Linked DNA regions of Oryctolagus cuniculus. The protein of the gene in region 2 interacts with the protein of the main gene of each other region in a biochemical or structural test. Links are inferred from orthologs where the notes say so. Each region holds a gene or a part of one and is shown on either strand. Other genes may lie near its edges. The genes, in order: NUP155, NUP98, NXF1, NUP88 and KPNB1.

What was found.
Region 1: the proteins of NUP98 (region 2) and NUP155 form a complex in vitro, tested with the Homo sapiens proteins (2 studies listed by BioGRID). The link is inferred for Oryctolagus cuniculus from reciprocal best matches to the Homo sapiens genes NUP98 and NUP155.
Region 3: the proteins of NUP98 (region 2) and NXF1 form a complex in vitro, tested with the Homo sapiens proteins (5 studies listed by BioGRID and IntAct). The link is inferred for Oryctolagus cuniculus from reciprocal best matches to the Homo sapiens genes NUP98 and NXF1.
Region 4: the proteins of NUP98 (region 2) and NUP88 form a complex in vitro, tested with the Homo sapiens proteins (2 studies listed by BioGRID). The link is inferred for Oryctolagus cuniculus from reciprocal best matches to the Homo sapiens genes NUP98 and NUP88.
Region 5: the proteins of NUP98 (region 2) and KPNB1 form a complex in vitro, tested with the Homo sapiens proteins (3 studies listed by BioGRID). The link is inferred for Oryctolagus cuniculus from reciprocal best matches to the Homo sapiens genes NUP98 and KPNB1.

Annotation. Positions count from the first base shown.
Region 1 is NC_091445.1:62,776,785-62,780,298, reverse strand, and holds part of NUP155 (nuclear pore complex protein Nup155), read left to right. Parts: intron 1-324; coding exon 325-455; intron 456-3,514.
Region 2 is NC_091432.1:63,190,054-63,193,567, forward strand, and holds part of NUP98 (nuclear pore complex protein Nup98-Nup96), read left to right. Parts: intron 1-483; coding exon 484-640; intron 641-3,514. UniProt on the Homo sapiens protein: Plays a role in the nuclear pore complex (NPC) assembly and/or maintenance. NUP98 and NUP96 are involved in the bidirectional transport across the NPC. May anchor NUP153 and TPR to the NPC.
Region 3 is NC_091432.1:8,795,919-8,799,432, forward strand, and holds part of NXF1 (nuclear RNA export factor 1), read left to right. Parts: intron 1-1,160; coding exon 1,161-1,197; intron 1,198-1,439; coding exon 1,440-1,508; intron 1,509-1,583; coding exon 1,584-1,639; intron 1,640-1,770; coding exon 1,771-1,878; intron 1,879-1,984; coding exon 1,985-2,043; intron 2,044-2,136; coding exon 2,137-2,252; intron 2,253-2,379; coding exon 2,380-2,422; intron 2,423-3,039; coding exon 3,040-3,112; intron 3,113-3,514.
Region 4 is NC_091448.1:50,908,948-50,913,218, reverse strand, and holds the start of NUP88 (nuclear pore complex protein Nup88), read right to left. Parts: upstream 2,815-4,271; 5' UTR 2,706-2,814; intron 2,450-2,705; 5' UTR 2,332-2,449; coding exon 2,038-2,331; intron 1-2,037. Other genes in the region: RPAIN (RPA-interacting protein), read left to right, coding at 2,901-2,981. UniProt on the Homo sapiens protein: Component of nuclear pore complex.
Region 5 is NC_091448.1:23,988,333-23,992,278, forward strand, and holds the start of KPNB1 (importin subunit beta-1), read left to right. Parts: upstream 1-1,142; 5' UTR 1,143-1,543; coding exon 1,544-1,583; intron 1,584-1,686; coding exon 1,687-1,745; intron 1,746-3,859; coding exon 3,860-3,946.

The DNA.
Region 1 (3,514 bases), on a different chromosome or scaffold from region 2:
AGTGGGTAATGTCACTGCCTGCAGTGCCAGCATCCCGTAAGGGTGCCAGTTTGAGACTCAGCTACCCCACTTCCAATCCAGCTCTCTGCTGTGATCTGGGAATGCAGTAGAAGATGGCCCAAGTCCTTGTGGGAGACCCAGAAGAAGCTCCTGGCTTCTGGCTTTGGATTGGTTCAGCTCCAGACAGTGCGGCCATCTAGGGAGTGAACCAACGGATAGAAGACTACCCCCCGCCCCCACCACCTTTCAAATAAATAAGTGAAATCTTTTTTAAAAAAACTGTGTTACTTTTATAAAATTTCTTTAATTGTGTTTTATCTTTAGAGGCTCAACTGAGTGAAAAGGTTTCACTTCAGGCAATCCAGCAGTTGGTTCGAAAATCCTACCAGGCTCTGGCTTTATGGAAACTTCTTTGTGAACATCAGTTTACTCTCATTGTGGGAGAACTTCAGAAGGTAGGATTTTTTTCTTTGTTTTAAGATCTGTTAATGCTACAAGCAATGTTGTTTTCTTTGGCATGCTTTTTCATCTTACACTTGGACTTGGGAGGGATTATTTTGGTTACAGTAGATTCAGTATATCATAGCAAGATGCACTAAAGTATGATAACTTGAGAGAATCATATGGTCAACTCCGCAAGCTTCTGCAGTATATGAGAACTTCTTAGTGGTATGTGAGAGAACTCTTAACTTTATTTATTTATTTAAAATATATTTTTAAAATTTATTTGGCAGATAGAGTTAGACAGTGAGAGAGACAAAGATCTTCCTTCTGTTGGTTCACCCCCCAAGTGGCCGCTATGGAGACTAAGAAGAAGCTCCTGGCTCCTGGCTTGAATCTGACCAGCTCCAGGCATTTCAGCCATTTGGGAAGTGAATCAGTGGATGGAAGACCTCTCTGTCTGTAACTGCCGTCTCAAATAAATAAATTAAATCTAAATAGAAAAGAAAAAAAGATGTTTCTCATAGGAAATGACCAGTTTATATTTCTTTTACTGGCCTCAATAAAATCCTCTTGCTTATTTACGTATTTGAGAGTTAGAGTTACAGAGAGAGGAGAAACAGAAAGATCTTCCATATGGGATGCTGCAGGCAGTGGCTTAACCCACTTCACCTCAACACCAGCCCTACCTCATATGTCTTCTATCAAATGGATGTTAAGTCTATGTAGGCTTAGTTGGGTTCAGATCCATTTATTTCAGAAAGAATAGTATACTTCACAGTAAGGCTTTTTTCTTTCAACTATTAGGAGATACAAACTGTTCAGTTGTCCTAATTTATAATAAGACTAACAATATTTAGAATTAAGTGGTGCCGGCGCCGTGGCTCACTAGGCTAATCCTCTGCCTGCTGCGCCAGCACCCTGGGTTCTAGTCCCAGCTGGGGCACTGGTTCTCTCCCGGTTGCTCCTCTTCTAGTCCAGCTCTCTGCTGTGGCCCAGGAAGGCAGTGGAGGATGACCTAAGGGCTTGGGCCCTGCACCCGCATGGGAGAGCAGGAGAAAGCACCTTGCTCCTGGCTTCGGATTGGCGTAGCAAACCAGCTGTAGCGGCCATCTGGGGGGTGAACCAAGGGGAAAAGGAAGACCTTTTTCTGTCTCTCTCACTGTCTAACTCTCCGTATCAAAAAAATAAAAAATAATAATAATAAAAAAATAAAAAATAATAAATAAATAAATAAAAATATTTAAGTGGTATTATTACCTGAGTTCATTATAAAATTTTCTTTATCCTGTATGACTGTTTGATTGCCCAGAAGTGCTTAATTCTTGACTCTTCACCACTTTTTTTTTTTTTTTTTTTTTTTTTTTTTGACAGGCAGAGTTAGACAGTGAGATAGGGAGACAGAGAAAGGTCTTCCTTCCATTGGTTCACCCCCCAATGGCCACTACAGCCGTCACGCTGCGCCAATCTGAAGCCAGGAGCCAGGTGCTTCCTCCTGGTCTCCCATGGGGGTACAGGGCCCAAACACTTGGGCCATCCTCCACTGCCCTCCCGGGCCACAGCAGAGAGCTGGACTGGAAGAGGGGCAACTGGGACAGAATCCGGCACCCCAACCGGAACTAGAACCCCGGGTGCCAGCGCCACAGGTGGAAGATTAGCCTATTGAGCCGCGGCGCCAGCCCACCACTTTTTAAAGTTAAAAGTCCTCTGGTTTCCAGCAGTGCCTGAGGAGTGGTTTTGGGTTTTTTGTTGACAGTTTTTTCTTTTAAACATACACTTTGTTTTCCTTTTTTAAAATTCAAGCTAATGGCCGGCACCATGGCTCACTAGGCTAATCCTCCGCCTTGCGGCGCTGGCACACCGGGTTCTAGTCCCGGTCGGGGCGCCGGATTCTGTCCCGGTTGCCCCTCTTCCAGGCCAGCTCCCTGCTGTGGCCAGGGAGTGCAGTGGAGGATGGCCCAGGTGCTTGGGCCCTGCACCCCATGGGAGACCAGGAGAAGTACCTGGCTCCTGCGATAGGATCAGTGCGGTGCACCGGCCGCAGTGCGCCAGCCGCGGCGGCCATTGGAGGGTGAACCAACGGCAAAGGAAGACCTTTCTCTCTGTCTCTCTCTCTCACTGTCCACTCTGCCTGTCAAAAAAAAAAAAAAAAAAAAAAAAAAAAAAGTGGTGAAGAGTCAAGAATTAAGCACTTCTGGGCAATCAAACAGTCATACAGGATAAAGAAAATTTTATAATGAACTCAGGTAATAATACCACTTAAATATTTTTATTTATTTATTTATTTATTTATTTTGCTGTTGGTTCACCCTCCAATGGCTGCCGTGGCCGGCGTGCTGCGGCTGGTGCACCGCGCTAATCTGAAGCCAGGTGCTTCTCCTGGTCTCCCATGGGGTGCAGGGCCCAAGCATTTGGGCAATCCTCCACTGCACTCCCTGGCCACAGCAGAGAGCTGGCCTGGAAGAGGGGCAACCGGGACAGAATCCGGTGCCCCGACCGGGACTAGAACCCGATGTGCCGGCGCCGCAAGGCGGAGGATTAGCCTAGTGAGCTGCGGCGCCGGCCGCATCTTTTTATTTCTATAAATTTATGGTTTTAGTTTTAAAATTTAACAACTTTTTTAAAGACTTATTTATTTATTTGAAAGGCAGAGTTACAGAGAAGCAAAGGCAGACAGAGGGAAAGGTCTTTCCTCCAGTGCTTCACTCCCCAAATGGCCGTAATGGCCAGAACTGAATAGATCAGGAGCCAGGAGCTTTTCTGGGTCTCCCATGTGGGTGCAGGAGCCCAAGGACTTGGGCCATCTTCTCCTGCTTCCTAGGCCATAGCAGAGAGCTGGATTGGAAGTGGAGCAACTGAAACTCGAACTGATGCCCATATGGGATGCCAGCACTAGCAGGCAGTGGCTTTACCCATTGTGCCACAGCATTGGCCCCTAATGTAACAGCATTTAAAGCTCCACTTTTAATAAGCAGATTTGTTCAAAGGCAGATAAAAACCAATGTTGAATAATAAAATTCAAACATTACTAAGGGACAATATGATACAAACCCAAGGTTTTTTAATGTAACCC
Region 2 (3,514 bases):
TGTAGAGCTTCTGGTTTTTTAAGGGTATTAGTATCAGGTGATCTGGATTCTAATCCCAGTTTTGTGAATTTATTACTGTGTGACAGTCATTTAACGTCTGTGAGCACTGACTTCTGTAAAACATAACTTTTTCTACTTTGAAGGTTGTTTTTGAGGCTTTGTAAAGTGTTCCACAAAATTTTAAAGTTTCTGTAAACCCTGTCTCTACTTCACCTTGCCCATGCCAAAAGGCATGAGTTTAGCTTTTGGCTTGTGCTTATGTTTGATTTTAAAATTATTTATTAAGACCTCAGCAGTTGCTATATGCCAGGTTCTGGTGAGACACATTGTAATGAAATCAGTAACACAAATATTACAGTATTTCTGGACACTATCTTAAGAAGTAATTTTTTTTGGTTGTTGTAAACTGTATCTTTTAGTAGCCTTTCAGTTTCAGAGAGCACATTCATTGTGTGTCTGTGTATATACATATTGCCTTTTTAGATCATGAAAGCATCACTGCTTGCTGATGAAGAAGATATAGACATGATGCTGGATCAGCGCTTCAGTCATGTTCCTTCCAAAGCAGATGCTTCTCAAGAAATCTGTTCTCCCAGACTCCCCATTTCAGCATCCCACCCATCAAAATCTCGTTCACTAGGTATTGTATAAATACGCTGTTTTACAAGAAAGCTGTAGAGTCATCAAGTTCCACGTTTCATATATCTCCTGTGCTGAGTAGATTTCCAGAATGTATCTCCCTAACAGCCATACCTCTGACATAAGAATGTTAAGAGAGCTCACACTCTTATATTAGGAGTGTCCAGTTTTTTAAGAACTATAATTACTTCTGTTGGTGAAGATGCAGAAATTGTATGGAGAGTATAGTATTTGTGCTTTGCTTAGGGTCATGCTTTTGTTTGCTTATGAGTATGAATTAAATAAGTTCCAATTTCCAAATTTTTATCACAAGTTACTTTGAGGATTTAACAAGTTGTCCTACATTGGACTCTCTGTGTAGTCCTAATGCTATCTCAGTGCCTTATGAGGAAATCTTTGCCTTTTGATAATTCATAGAATTCATCAAGATTCAAGATTCCAATTTTCCCTAAGCTTTTTGCCTAGTGGACTAGTAACTTGGTGGAATTGGAGGTAGGGTATTACTATAAACAGAACACTTGAACAGTTAAGTGAATATTAAGTTGTGGTCATTGGAGCAGCAGTTAAGATGTCATTTGGGATACTTGCATACTATAATGAAATTTCTGGATTGGAATCCATTCAAGTTCCCTGGGAGGCAGCAGGTGATGGCTTATATAGTTGTATCTCTGCTACCTGGGATTGAATTCCTGGCTCCCAAAACTCAAACCGGCACCCATATGGGATGTTGGCAGTGGGGGCAGCGGCTTTACCTGCCATGCCACAGCTCTGGCCCCATGCTGCTCCACTTTTTTTTTTTTTACCCCTCCAGTAGAGGGCGCACTCTTGCGAGCGGCTTTTGTAGCCAGTTGCTTCCTGGGTGCTTTACCACCAGTCAATTTGCGGCAGTCTGCCCTGTATGAGCCATGGTATAAAGACCTCCCTACTTACCACACTTCTCCTTCAGCTGGAGCTCGGCGAGCGAGAGGCCGCGCTGGCGTTAGAGAGCAACGGCGGCACGGCTACTGCTCCACTTTCAATCCATCTTCTTGCTAATGCAGCTGGGAAGGCAGTGGATGATGGCCCAATTGCTTGGGCTGCTGCCACCCTTCTGGGAGACTGGGATGAAGTTTCTGACTCCTGAGTTTGACCTAGCACAAACCTGGCTGTTGTGGCCATCTGGGGAATGAATAAGCAGGTTAAAGACATTTCTCTCTCTTTCTTGGGGTCTCTCTAAGTCTTTGTCACTCTGCTTTTCAGACAATTCAGTTAATAAATCCTTTTAAAAAATTGTGGATTAGGCAATTCTTTTTTTTTTTTTTATTTTTTTATTTTTTTTTTTTTTTATTTTTGACAGGCAGAGTGGACAGTGAGAGAGAGAGAGACAGAGAGAAAGGTCTTCCTTTGCCGTTGGTTCACCCTCCAATGGCTGCCACGGCCGGCGCGCTGCGGCCGGCGCACCGCGCTGATCCGATGGCAGGAACCAGGAGCCAGGTGCTTTTCCTGGTCTCCCATGTGGGTGCAGGGCCCAAGCACCTGGGCCATCCTCCACTGCACTCCCTGGCCACAGCAGAGGGCTGGCTTGGAAGAGGGGCAACCGGGACAGAATCCGGCGCCCCGACCGGGACTAGAACCCGGTGTGCCGGCGCCGCTAGGCGGAGGATTAGCCTAGTGAGCCGCGGCGCCGGCCCGGATTAGGCAATTCTAATAAGAACTTTTCCTCAGAAAAGTACATGTGCAATCATAAGAATTTTCAATATTTTTTTCTTTAACTCGTAACAGAAGGTAGGAATTTGAGTTTTGATCTTTGATCTTACTAAGCTCTTATAAGGACTAAGAAAGTTATTTTGAATTTTTTAAAAAGATTTATTTACTTATTTATTTGAAAGAGAGATAGAAAGCTTCCATCTGCTCTTTGAGACCCCCAAATGTCTGCAACAATGGAACTGAGCCAGGCCAAACCCAGGAGTCTGGAATTTCGTGCAGGTCTCCCACATGGGTGTATCTCCCAAGTACTTAAACCATCTTCTGTTGCTTTCCCAGATGCATTAAAAGGGAACTGCATTAGAAGTGGAGCAGGTGGGACTCAAACCAGCACCCATGGGATCCTGGTATTAGAGGCAGCAACATAACCTGCTGTGCCACAGTCCTGTCTCCTTTTATCAGACATGGTGTTCCATTTGACTTTTTGATACATTTATAGATTGTGTAATGTCCACTCAGGGGAAATACATCTCTGTTCAAACATTTAACAGTTCTTTAAAAAACATCCAAAATCCTATCATGGATTTGTTGTGTGTGTATGTGTGTGTGTGTGTTTTTAGTAACATAAATATATAAGAATTAACCATGTGTAATCTTCACACATTTGGAATTTTTATTTAAAGTTTTTATTATTTATAATTATATAATTAATATATATTATATAATATAATTAATTATATGAAAAGCAGAATGACAGAGGGAAAGGGAGAAACGAGAGAGAGAGAGATCTTCAGTCCATTGGTTCTCTCCCCAAATGACATCAAGGGCCGAGGCTGAGTCAGACCAAAGCCATGAGCCAGGAACCCCATCCAGGTCTCCCATGTGGATGGCAGGGGCTGCAAGTACTTGGGCCATCTGCTGCTGCTTTCCAAGATGTATTGGCAGGGAGCTGGACTAGAAGGAGTGTACCTGGGACTTGAACCAATGCTCCAATAAAGCATTGGTATCATAGGCAGTGACTTAACACACTGCTCTGCAATGCCTGCCCCCCACATTTGGGATTTTGGTATGGGCTTAGTACTGGTAACAGACCTCCCTGTACTTTCCCTGCCAGTCCTGGTATTTGGTAGATTTTTTGAGTTTGTACAAGCTACCACTTACTTGAAACCAGTTTTCTTACTTACAAAAATGG
Region 3 (3,514 bases), about 54 Mb from region 2:
CGCCAGCAGGCGTGGGAATCCCAAGGAAGGTGCTGGGCGTGGAGGCCACGGGGGCATAGGCTACCAAGGAGACAGAGAACTGACCCTGTCAGGGGCACTGCCCCGCTCTCACTCGCACACCTCACGTCACCCTGCTTGGCCCCGGAGGATGGCTGGTTAGCCAGAGACGGGTAAGATTCCTCTGGGAAGGAACAACCTAAGACAGGCACAGTCGCAGAGGGGCCATCAGGAGAGAACTTGGGGGCCAACAGAGGTGGGGCACAGACCCTCACCCCCCCAACTTTGCAGGGGTATGAACCCTCACCCCTTCTGAGGGCTGTCTCCTGCCCCCGTGGCTGCTTTGCTTCCCACGCCTACCCAGCTCAGATCGGGACCCAGGTGGCAGATAGAGACCTGGCCAATAGCAACTGCCCGCTCACCACAGCAAAGATTTCTTCCCCATTTCTGCCTTGGACCACAGGGAAAGGGCAGCTAAAGGAAAAGGCTGTATCCAGGTGTCTTCCTCTCCTATCCTCTTTGATGGAAATGCCTCCTTGCTTTGTCGCTCTTTTGTTTTTCTTGGCTTTCTCTTGCCTTTTCCTCCCTACTTCCCATTGCCTCCTCTGTCTCTCACTTGTCCCATCCCATTCTCCCTTTTTGCTTCCTCTTCTTTTCCTGTCTTTTTCTGTTACCTCCCCTCCCCATGAGCCCCGCCTTGCTCATCTCCCTGCCCCAACATCCTGTGCCATCCTGTGGTGTGCTCTGGTCTTGGCCAAGGCCAGACCTGGCAGAACTGATGGATACCTGGTGAGGCAGCGGAGCCCCTGGGCTCCCACCCCATTCCCTTCTCCCTGGGCTGCACAGGTGAGTAGGTGGAAGGTAAGGGGGGCAGGGAGGGGAAGGATGGCCTGGGCTTAAAGCCTGGGCTGAGAGTGCTACTCTTGTGGCACTTGGGGTTAGGCAGAGAGAAATGTGACAGCCTTCAAGGCAGTCCATGTCTGGGAGCCCTGGGTCAGGTGGGGAGTGTGGGCCATTTTTTCTCTGAGCACAGGCTGGGGAGGAGTGGGGGGATGAGCAGGATGGTATGGGCTACCCTTGGGCCCTGGTGTATTTGCTCCTATAGCAGCCCAGGAGGCACGGTGGCCCTGAAGCATCACTCACTTCTGTCCCATTCTTGACAGCGCCATTCGTGAACGATTCCCCAAGTTGTTACGCCTGGTAAGTTGACAGCTGTTTTCATTTTCTTCTAAAGAGTATAATATCTCCCACTCCCTCTGACAAAAGCTATAATCCTGCTTCCCAGGAAATGCTGCTAGGCAAAAGTTGCATATGTCAGGGTTCATGGACACTTTTCATACTTCTTTCACACTTCTTGCCTGTCATTTGTAGCTCTTCCATCTAGGTAAGCGTGTAGCCATTTTTCCTCTGGTGTATACTCACCTTTCACTTTATCTGCATAGGATGGCCATGAGTTACCCCCACCAATTGCCTTTGATGTTGAAGCCCCAACACTGTTGCCACCCTGCAAGGTGAGAACGGGGACATAGCTAGAATGTGGGGGTGGGGGTACTGGTTCCATGGTCCTAATATCTGTTTGATTCCAGGGAAGCTATTTTGGAACAGAAAACCTGAAGAGTCTGGTCCTGCACTTCTTGCAGCAGTAAGTATCCCAGGGCCCCAAGGCTGCAGAGGGGTTTGGCTGTCCAAAGCCCGGTTCATTCTTGGGAGCTGCTAAGTCCCTCTGTGGCTGCAGAGCTTAGAGTTTCCCTTTTTCTTTTTTTCCTCCCACAGGTATTATGCAATTTATGACTCTGGAGACCGACAGGGGCTCCTGGATGCCTATCATGATGGGGCCTGCTGTTCCCTGAGCATTCCTTTCATCCCCCAGAACCCCGGCCGGTGAGTTCACGTCCCAGAACCTGCCCAAGCCTTCAGGGTTTCCCAGCAGGAAGGGACCAGCTCTGCTAGCAACCAGTGTTCGGACCAATGCCTCTTTTTCCACTAGAAGCAGCTTGGCAGAGTACTTCAAGGATAGCAGAAATGTGAAGAAGCTTAAAGACCCTAGTAAGTGTATGATGTGAGCAAAACAGGATGGGAGGGAATCGGAGCACTTAGGATGGTTTGGCAGCCCCAACTCCCTTCCTCCTCCACCTCCAGCACTGCGGTTCCGATTGCTGAAGCACACACGTCTCAACGTGGTTGCCTTCCTCAATGAGTTGCCCAAAACTCAGCATGACGTCAATTCCTTTGTAGTAGACATAAGCGCCCAGACCGTAAGTGCCTATTTCTTTCCTGATAGACGCCTTAAATTGGGGGTGAGGGTGGAGGGAAGCATTTAAGAGGCAAAGGGGCTCAGGTCCTACCAAGAAGCCTCCAGTGTCCCTAATGCTTCTTTTTCAGAATACATTGCTGTGTTTTTCTGTCAACGGTGTCTTTAAGGAAGGTGAGAATTTGGGGGGGTCCTGAGGTTATAGCATGGTCCCTCCTCCATCCAGAATCTTCTTCAGCACTCTTAGTTTCTCAGCTACCTTCTGTCCCCTTTTCTTTCCTGATCTCCTCCCATTCTGCCACCAAGCCATTGTGCTTGGGCCTGCCTTCTCCACCTATCTTGTCTGCAGTATAGGAAAAGCCTGGGATAGATTAGGAGGACACAGACTTTGGAGTCAGAAAGGTCTGGTTTTCCATCTCAATCTTGATTCTGTGCATCTGTGTGCAAGTTATTATCTCTGAGCTTCATCAGCATCTTCCTTTGTATTCTGAGATGGAGTTGGTAACAGCCAGGTCTTAATGGTGCCATAGGAAGTAAATGAAGTGACTTTTAAAGTACTTTACCCCTGGCACAATACACAAGTGCTCTGTCAGTGGGTTAGTAGTTGTTAGTATTATTATCCTTTCTGACCTCTGACCCTTTGCCCCCCCTACACTCCCCTGCACATGACATAGTTATCCCAGTGTGGCCCACGCGGGGTTCTTTATAACATAGAAGACAGAGAGCTGAGAAGCTATTTCTAAACATAAAGCACAAGTGCCTCTAAAAGGTGGTTGCCGCTCTCTTTGCAGTGGATGGAAAGTCCCGGGATTCTTTGCGAGCCTTTACTCGGACATTCATTGCCGTTCCTGCCAGCAATTCAGGGTAAGTTCCCGGTTTACCAGGTTGGGTACCAATCCCAGTTCATGGCCAGCAGCATGGTAATTGGAGGGTAGAATCAGTCCTCAGGATGTTTTCAGAATCTGAAAGGCAGTGGCAGATCACAGGAAGTGGCTCCCATCCTGGTTAAGGGCTTGGCTCTGGAGTCGGACTGTCTGGGTTTTCATCTTGAGTTTACTACTGGCCATGGACCAGTTTCTTCATCTGAAAATATTATAATAATATTCACTTCCTAAGTTTACTGTGAAGACAGATAAAATACACAGGGGCTCACAGCTGTCTGTGGTCAGATGAGAAACTATGAGTTCAATGTGTTTGGCAGAACATCCTTCCAAACACAAAGCCCAGAGGACAAACTATGCAAATGGTAAAAGGCAGCAGCTAACA
Region 4 (4,271 bases), on a different chromosome or scaffold from region 2:
CCGTCTGGCTCAGTCCCACCCATTGCAGCCATTTGGGGAGTAAACCAGTGGATGGAAGATCTCTTTCTACCTCTCTGTTAACTCTTTCAAATAAATAAAAATAAACCTTAAAAAAAAAAGTCCTTGAAAAACTCACGTCCACTTGTACTTCCTATTTCCTAAGACCACCTCAGATTCCCGTTTTCTTTTCTTTCCCTGTTCAGTGAAAGCCGTGAGACTGTCAATGTACTATTTACCTGGTACATGAAGAATCGCATGAAGCCAAAATTCTTTTAGACAACTCTACTCTGAATGAGATTTCTACTTACTGCTGCAATGTCTACAAGCCTGCTTTGTTTTTTATTTGTCCGTCAGTGATTCTAATCAAAGCGTTTCTTCTCAAAACAATTCTGAGGCACTTCCGTGGTTCTTCTCTGCTTTCTCCTCATGCTCAACCCCCAACTTCTTCCTACCTGATTCCACAGCCTAACTCAAACTGAAGAGGCCGCTTTGCTTCTGCTTCAGATACAATTCAATCACATGAGTTCATCTATGAAAATCACTTTATTTAGATTTCTGTTGTTCCTTTTTTTTTTTTGAAGATTTATTTATTTATTTGAAAGTCAGAGTTACACAGAGAGGAGAGGCAGAGAGAGAGAGAGGTCTTCTATCCACTCCCCAATTGGCTGCAACAGCCGGAGCTGTGCCGATCTGAAGCCAGGAGCCAGGAGCTTCCTCCGGGTCTCCCATGCAGGTGCAGGGGCCCGAAGACTTGGGCCATCTTCCACTGCTTTCCTAGGCCATAGGCAGAGCGCTAGATCGGAAGTGGAGCAACCGTCGGGCGGCTTTACCCACTATGCAACAGTGCCAGCCCCATGTTGTTACTGGTTTTAAAATCACTACTTTTTTTTTTTTTTTTTTAATTTAAGGTTGTAACTCATGGTAAATGGCTTTTCCTCACCAATCTGTGAGGTTTTCGAGATTCTGGAGGACTGAGGGTTGTTCAGTCAACAATATGTATTGAGAGGGGGTGTGTTCCAGGCACTCAGTCAAGTACCTGCCATACCAAAATTAACAAGGCAGACACACACCCTGCCTTAGTGCTTACAGCCTAGAAAAGACAACAGTTATATATCAATTTTGAATGTGTCGAACGCTGCTAGAATACTGCGCACTGAAGATCTGATAGTTACTCTTAACTGAAATTTTATACTAAGTAGATTGTAGGCTGGACCTATTTTCAAAGCTGCAGAAGCAATGCTAGCATCTCATTAAAATCAAAGCACTTTGGACCAGCCTTATGGCCTAATGGGCTAAGCCACAACCTGCAATGCCGGCATCCCACACATGCAACAGTTGGAGACCCAGCTGCTCCACATCCAATCCACCTCCCTGCTAATGCTCCTGGGAAAGCAGCTGAAGATGTCCCAAGTATTTGGGCCCCTGCACCCACGTGGGAGATCAGGAAGAAGCCCCTGGCTCTGGCCTGGTCCAGCCCAGGTCGTTGGGGAGTGGTCACTTGGGGAGTGAACCAGGATGGACAATCTCTCTTTCTCCACCTCTAACTCTGCCATTCAAATAAACAAAATACATTTAAAAAAAAATCAAATCACTGCTCATCAACAAGAACTGGACAGCAGCACACAACAGATGTCAGACGTTGGAAAGGGTGCCCTAAGTTTTTTTTTAAATCTTTATGAAAGCAGATCATGTATTACAAATAAACATTTTCATACAGCAATGTCCAATCGCAGCAAGCGTCCACTTCCACACGCTGACAACTTATCAAAAACAAACCAAAGTCCCTCCAACTCTGCGGAGGGTAGGGGAAAGACTCCCACAGAGGCTTCCTCCCCCAGGGCAGGCACCTGCTCCCAAGGCGACCCCGGCCCCGCGCTCTCGCACCGTCCCGGCCCTCCCCTCGGCCGCACCCCACTCACCACCCCGCTCCAAGCGGTGTGTCCCCGAGAGGACGCCCGCTCCCGCGAGAACCAGCCCACACCGGCCCCCTTGCCGAGAGCCCGCGCGGGGGGCACCTCCGCGACGGCCTGGCCCTACCTGGTACTGGGAGAGGGAGGGCTCCTCGCCGCCGCCGCGGAGGCCCCGAAGGCGCACGACTAAGAACGAGCTGCTTTCCCCGTCCCACAGGAAGAGATCTCCGCAGAGGCCGAAGACCAGGTTCCTCGTCAGCACCTGCGGCGGCGACGTGGGCAGTGATGACGACGTCTGTTTCTCGGCTTCGGCTGGGCTGTGATGTTTCAGTCCCTCCCGCAGCCGCAGGAACACGGCGTGGTTGGGAAGCCAGGTCTGCCACGGCTCACCGTCACCCACGACGCCATCGGCTGCCGCCATCTTGGCCCAACTGCTCGCCTCACTCGGGTTGCTCAGCCCGCCGCGGAGCGCAGCCAATCCGTGGCCAGCCGTCCACCGCTTCGTCCAATCATCGAGCAGGAAGCCCGGAAGCACGAGGCTAGCACGAGGAGGCGGGGCAAAAGGGGGATGCAGCCCATCAGCTAGGGGTATAGCCCGAGGGAGAGCCAATGGCCAGTCCAGGATTTACCCCGCAGCCAGGAGGGGGCGGGATGAGGAAGTCAACAGTATAGAGCCTGTTAACAAAGTTTGGGAGCGCCTGGACGTCTAGCGCCCGTGCAAAAGACTGAGAGCCCTACGTATCTAATTGTTGGCTGGATACTGCCAAGCATTCAGAACTTTCCTTCAAGACTTACCTCTTTCAGTCCGGGCTGGGTTGACCTCACGGCGTTAGCCCCCACCGCCCCATCCTTCGTCTCCGTGTTCTAGTACAACAATTCCCAGAACTCCCTGCGACCCACGTTCCACCGGCGTCCAGAAACTTCAACTCCCAGGGTTCTGTGCGCGCGCTTAGGGGCGGGGCTCTTGGCGGCGACTCACGCGAGGAGGAGATGGCCGGGCCGGCGGGGTCTCCACGCCGCTCGCTTTATAAACTGGTGGGCTCGCCGCCGTGGAAAGAGGCTTTCAGAAAAGTGAGTGTGGGCCCTGGGCCGTGGTCACTGCCCTCATCCGGGCCTTCGCCCCAGCCCCGCTGTGGGAAGCGGGTGCCGCTGGAGGCGACTCTGGAACCCAGGGCTCCCGCCCGTAGGTTTAGATCTGGATTTTCGATTTGCCCGCTCCCGGAGTTTTTGGCCCCCTGGTTTGAGATTGGCCTGGGTGCTCTCAGTGCCAGGAAAACTTGTTCTCGGGCTCGGGCTTCTTTTAAATCTGATGTAGTAGCCGCACCTTCCGAGCCGCCACCGTGTGGTGTGGTTGGGGGGTGCGGGGGGTCCCCCGAGACACGCACCTGTCTGCGTGCGCCACGGGAGACAGAAGTGTTTCTGACCTGGAGAGGAGCAAACAGGCTTAGAGGAAGAGCTGCATCTGCTGGGTGCCAGCAGAATTCTACCCCGCTCAGTTCTAGCTGCTCCTGAACCCCGCCTGGTTCCTAGAAAGCAACAGTGTGCATCTCCAGGAATCGCTGAAGTAGCCGCACGCTGCTCCGGACGCCCGCGTTCAGTATCCCTGTGCCGGCTCCGGAAGCGCCACCTTGGGCAGCACCTCCTGGTGTGGACCTGGCCCAGCCCTGGCTGTGTCGGGCATGGCGGGGGGAGGGGATGAACCATTGGATGGGAGATGTCTCTGTCTCTCTGTAGCTCTGCCCTTTGATTTAATTAAATGTATAAATAAAGCGGTTGGTATATTCCAGGAACACAGTGTGATTCTAGACAGACTGTATAGCACTTGGCTATTGACATTTTGAGGGAGATAATTGTTTGCTGTGGCTTCTACTCACGAGAAGCCAATAGTCCTACAACTGGAGTTGTGGCAACCAAAAGTTGTCTGTAAGCATTGCCAAGTGTCCCCTGGGGGACAGAGTCACCTTGAGCTGGGAGACCCTGTTGCACAGGAAAGTCTTGACCACACCCGTCTATCCCAACCACCGCTAGAGTAGCAAGCATGTGGAAACAATATGAAGGGCTTATGATAGGACAGTGAATGCTGAGATGTTGGGCTCCCAACCGGTCAGGAAGCTGGCATGGAAGATTAAATATGAAATGTGGGAATTGCAAGGTGTCCGGCGCATAACAAATCTTCCCAGGCAGACGAATCAATTAATTTACAGGCTTTTATTGGGATCCCGCTCCCGGGCGAGGTTCCCCGGTCCCAACAGAGCAGGGGCCGGGGAAGTCCTGTGTGAGAGATTGGGAGTGCTCCTTTTATAGAAATAGGGCGTGGGCGTTGAAGGTTGAGGCGGGTCTGATCCTCATTGGTTGACCTTT
Region 5 (3,946 bases), on a different chromosome or scaffold from region 2:
GAAAATTTACGCTTAGGAAATCAACCTGGAGCCCACCTGCCAATACTGGAGAAGCCAAGAAACCCGACACACATGTTCTCTATGTGCATTTTCCTACCAAGGGGGGGGGGGGAGGGCTTGAGTTTTTCCCAGGACTCTGAACTTTCCAAGGCCAAGAACCGCGGAGCTTTTGGCCTATGCACATTCTTTGATTCGAGGATGTGCGTGTACAAGGGTACCCCTGCAGCGTGAACGAAACACTTCTACTTCAGGTACCCGGTAGCTATGGACAGGGATCTAACGGGAGTCTCTTAGCCCTTCCCTAAGTCAGACTTCAGAACAGGTCTCAAACCCTACGAATGGCCTAAGGGGACTCCTGGAGCGGGGAGGCAAGACGCCTGTAGGGTCAAGGGCAGCCCAGAGTCCCCGAGGACAGCCCTGACCAAGCCGCTAGCCGGCTGCTGCGACTTTGGACAAGTCCCATCCCCTCTGGGTTTACTTTCCACATCTGCACATTGGAAGTTGGACCACATGGTCTTCAAGGTCTTCCCCAGCCGAGAGTCTGGCAACAAGTGGAGTTAGCTCGTCGCCCAAGCAGCTTCCTGTGGGCGCGGTGCCGGACTTTAACGGTCTCCCCCTCCCCCGCTCAGGCCCGCCAAGCCCTCCCTCCCCACGCCCCTCCGAGGGCCTGCGCCTCCCCAACCGCAGCCCGGGCTGCAGGGGCCCAGCCCCGCCCCTTCCCGGGGGCGTCCCAGCGTGCCTCGCGTCGGGGCTCCTACAGCGGCCAGGCGCCTCCCGCCTTTCGGCGCCCCGACCCCGAACTCCTCTCCCGGGCGCCCTATCCTATCAACGTCTAGCACCCCAGCCAATCGCGCGGGCCGCGGGTCTCGCTTTGAGCCCACCCTCCTCCCAGCGCCCAGCCGGTCTGAGCTCAAGGCCTTTACCACGGCGACCCAATCAGTGGCTTGCTCCCGCCTGCCCCACCCCAACTTCCCTCCCCCAGGCCAATCCGCGAGCCGCATTCTCCTGCCCGCCCAGCCAACCCGGGCCTTCAAACTAGCGGGCGAATGGACGCACGGCGGCCCTTCAACGCTGACCGCCTGGCCAATTGGGGATTCCGCGTGGCCAAGGCGGCAGCCAATCGCCGCGGAGCGCGGTGCCGCCGCGGAGAGGTCCGGCCCGAATATCCCTCCGCCTTCCTCCCTCCCTCTCTCTCCCTCCCTGCGCGCCGCCCGTTCACTGACTGCCTCCCTTCCTTCTTTCTCCCTCCGCCACCCGAGCACCAGCCGCGCTCTGAGCTGCCCGTGGGGTCCCTCCCCCGCCGCCAGAGGAGCAGCTGCCGCGCCGCCAGCAGCATTTTAGGAGGGAGGAAGGAAGGAAACGGGAGGAAGGGGAGCCGGAGGGACGACTCTCAGCGAGCCGGTGAATGGGCGTGTGGTGACCCCCGCCCCCCACCCCACCCTCCCTTCCCACCCGACCCCCAACCCCCATCCCCAGTCGGAGCCGCCGCCCGAGAGGCCGGACCGTCGTCTTCGGAGGAGCAGCCGCCGCCGCCACCTCCGCCATGGAGCTGATCACCATCCTCGAGAAGACCGTGTCTCCCGGTAGGACTCGGGGGCCGGGGTCGCGCTGAGGTGAGTTGGGGTGGGGGAGGGGGGAGCCCCGGCCCCTCTGACCCCGCTCCCGTCCCCACTCTCCTCCCCCCAGATCGGCTGGAACTGGAAGCGGCGCAGAAGTTCCTGGAGCGTGCGGCCGTGGAGAACCTGGTGCGTGCCGCCCCGCCGCGCCCCAGCCCGCCGCGTCCCCGTTCCCTGCGTGCGGGGCCTTCCCGCCCTCCCGGAGGCCCAGGCCTCGGGAACCTACCCCGCCCCATCCCGTCCCCCTCCCCCCGCCCCGTCCCCCTCTCCTCCGCGCCCCCCCCGCGCCCGGTCCAACCTAACCCCGCCGTCGGGAAGCCGGTGGGTGTGTCCCGCCCCGGGCCGCGCGGCCGGCCAATGGCGCGGCGCGCCGGGGTGACTGCCGCCCAATCGCCGCGCGGCCTGAGGGCGGCGGTGCAGCGGGAGGGAGAAAGAGCGAGGGGAGGGAAGTTAGGTTGCGCGGCGCTGCGTGTTCAGCAAGGGTGGGGGTTGGGGAGCCGGGCCTAGGGGCCATGTGGAAGCTCGGAGGCCGGCTGCCCGCCCTGCTCTGGCCCAGCCGGCTTCTCCTTCCTGTCCCGGGGGCCCTGCGGCTCTCCCCACTTCTTCCCAGAGCGTTTGCTTTGCTCTGTGCTCCTGGCCAGGCCTGCACCCCCGGCTGCCTCTGAACCCTTCCCATTGGTATTTCTCTCCCTCTCCTGCCTAGTTGGCCCTCTCTTGGGGCTTTTGTGGAGGTCTCCCCGTTTTTCCTGGCCCCGATGACTAGAGACCTCATCGTTAGGGACCTGCGCCCAGGCGACATACTGAGGCTTGTCCTGGAGATCGGGCCTATTTTTAATGAAATAGAGGAAAGTCCTCATTTCTCATTTCCGAAGTCAGGGGGTGCAGGGAAAATGAAGATAGCTCCGCCGGAGGCTGGAGCTCCCTACAAAAATGCAGGGTTGATTGGTTGGAACGGTCTGGTGCAGCTTGTTTCCTTCTCCTGCTGGGGGATGGGGAGAAGAGGGAGCGGTGGATGATACTGGACATCTTTTAAAGGTGCGAGGTAGTGAGGGCTAAATGACGCTGTAACCAAACGTGTCCTCTGGGGAAGGCACGTCAGCAACAACAAAGTGACAAGGCTTATTTTCTACAAGCTGCGTTTGGCTGTTCTTGTCCTTCCACGTGCCAGTTTTACACCTCTTTTATCTTGAACTTGCCCTACAAAAGATTTTTCCCCTGGTGTAGACCAGTCATTCCATTCAGGGTGTATTCCTGTGTGTGGGTTTGCTGACTTGCAAGCAGCTTTTTCTCTTATTCCTGACATTCTTCAGTGGTGCGTAATTAACACAACTTTTGAAGAATTCTCTCTTGCTGTGATTGCGGCACTTGCCCGTGGTAAGAAAGTGTACTGCGTTTGGCTTTTCCTGTTGTTTGGATGAGGCTTTTTTTTTTCTTTTTTCTTTTTTTGGTATGGGATAGAATTGTGAAGCAAGTAGCTTGGAACCTGTGGGTTAGAAGATTGTGCTTTTTAGGGATCCACTGTGTTCAGTAGACAGCTCAAGTCTAAGGAGCCCTTGGTGTATTGACTGTTGAGTTAAGCATAGTCATTTTCCTTAAATGACTTGCCTGGACATTTTTGTCTGTTTGGTTTTTTCCTGTTTCTAAGTATCTACTACTTTCCCTTATCGATTGGCTTTTTCCTTTGGTCTCCCTCTGCTGAACACCCCGCAAGTAAAATACAGAGGATTAGGTACCCAAGTCTGCTTCAGGCTTAAGTATTCCATTTTTTATAAGAGATTAACTGCTCCCAGGGGCTCAAACCATCATTCTTTTTGGACTAAGCTTTTTGAAATTCAGAGAAGCAATTTTAATTTCTACCCGTCATAACATTTATTCATTCAACAAATATTTATTGAGTATCAGAGGTGGTTCTGGGTGCTTGGAACGCTTCAGCACACATGAAGAATGTGCTTGTCAGATTTGCTTAAATTCTGGCGATCTGTTAGGGAGATTGGGGCACTGAGGATGATCTTGATAGGAAAATAATGTATCTCCTAAGTAAGTGCTTGGCTACATGCGAAGACGGGTGGCCTCCTTGTATATCAAATAACTTTTATGGGGATCTTGAAGTAGATGGTTTAGAGTTCCTGGTATGTCCCAAAAGTGTGTGCTTCCTGCATCCACCCATGATTTGGGTGCTTGATGAACTTCAGTTATTGAAATCCCAAGAGATTTTCATTGGCCAATGCATGTTCTCTTAACAGCCCACTTTCCTTGTGGAACTGTCCAGAGTGCTAGCAAATCCAGGAAACAGTCAGGTTGCCAGAGTTGCAGCTGGTCTACAAATCAAG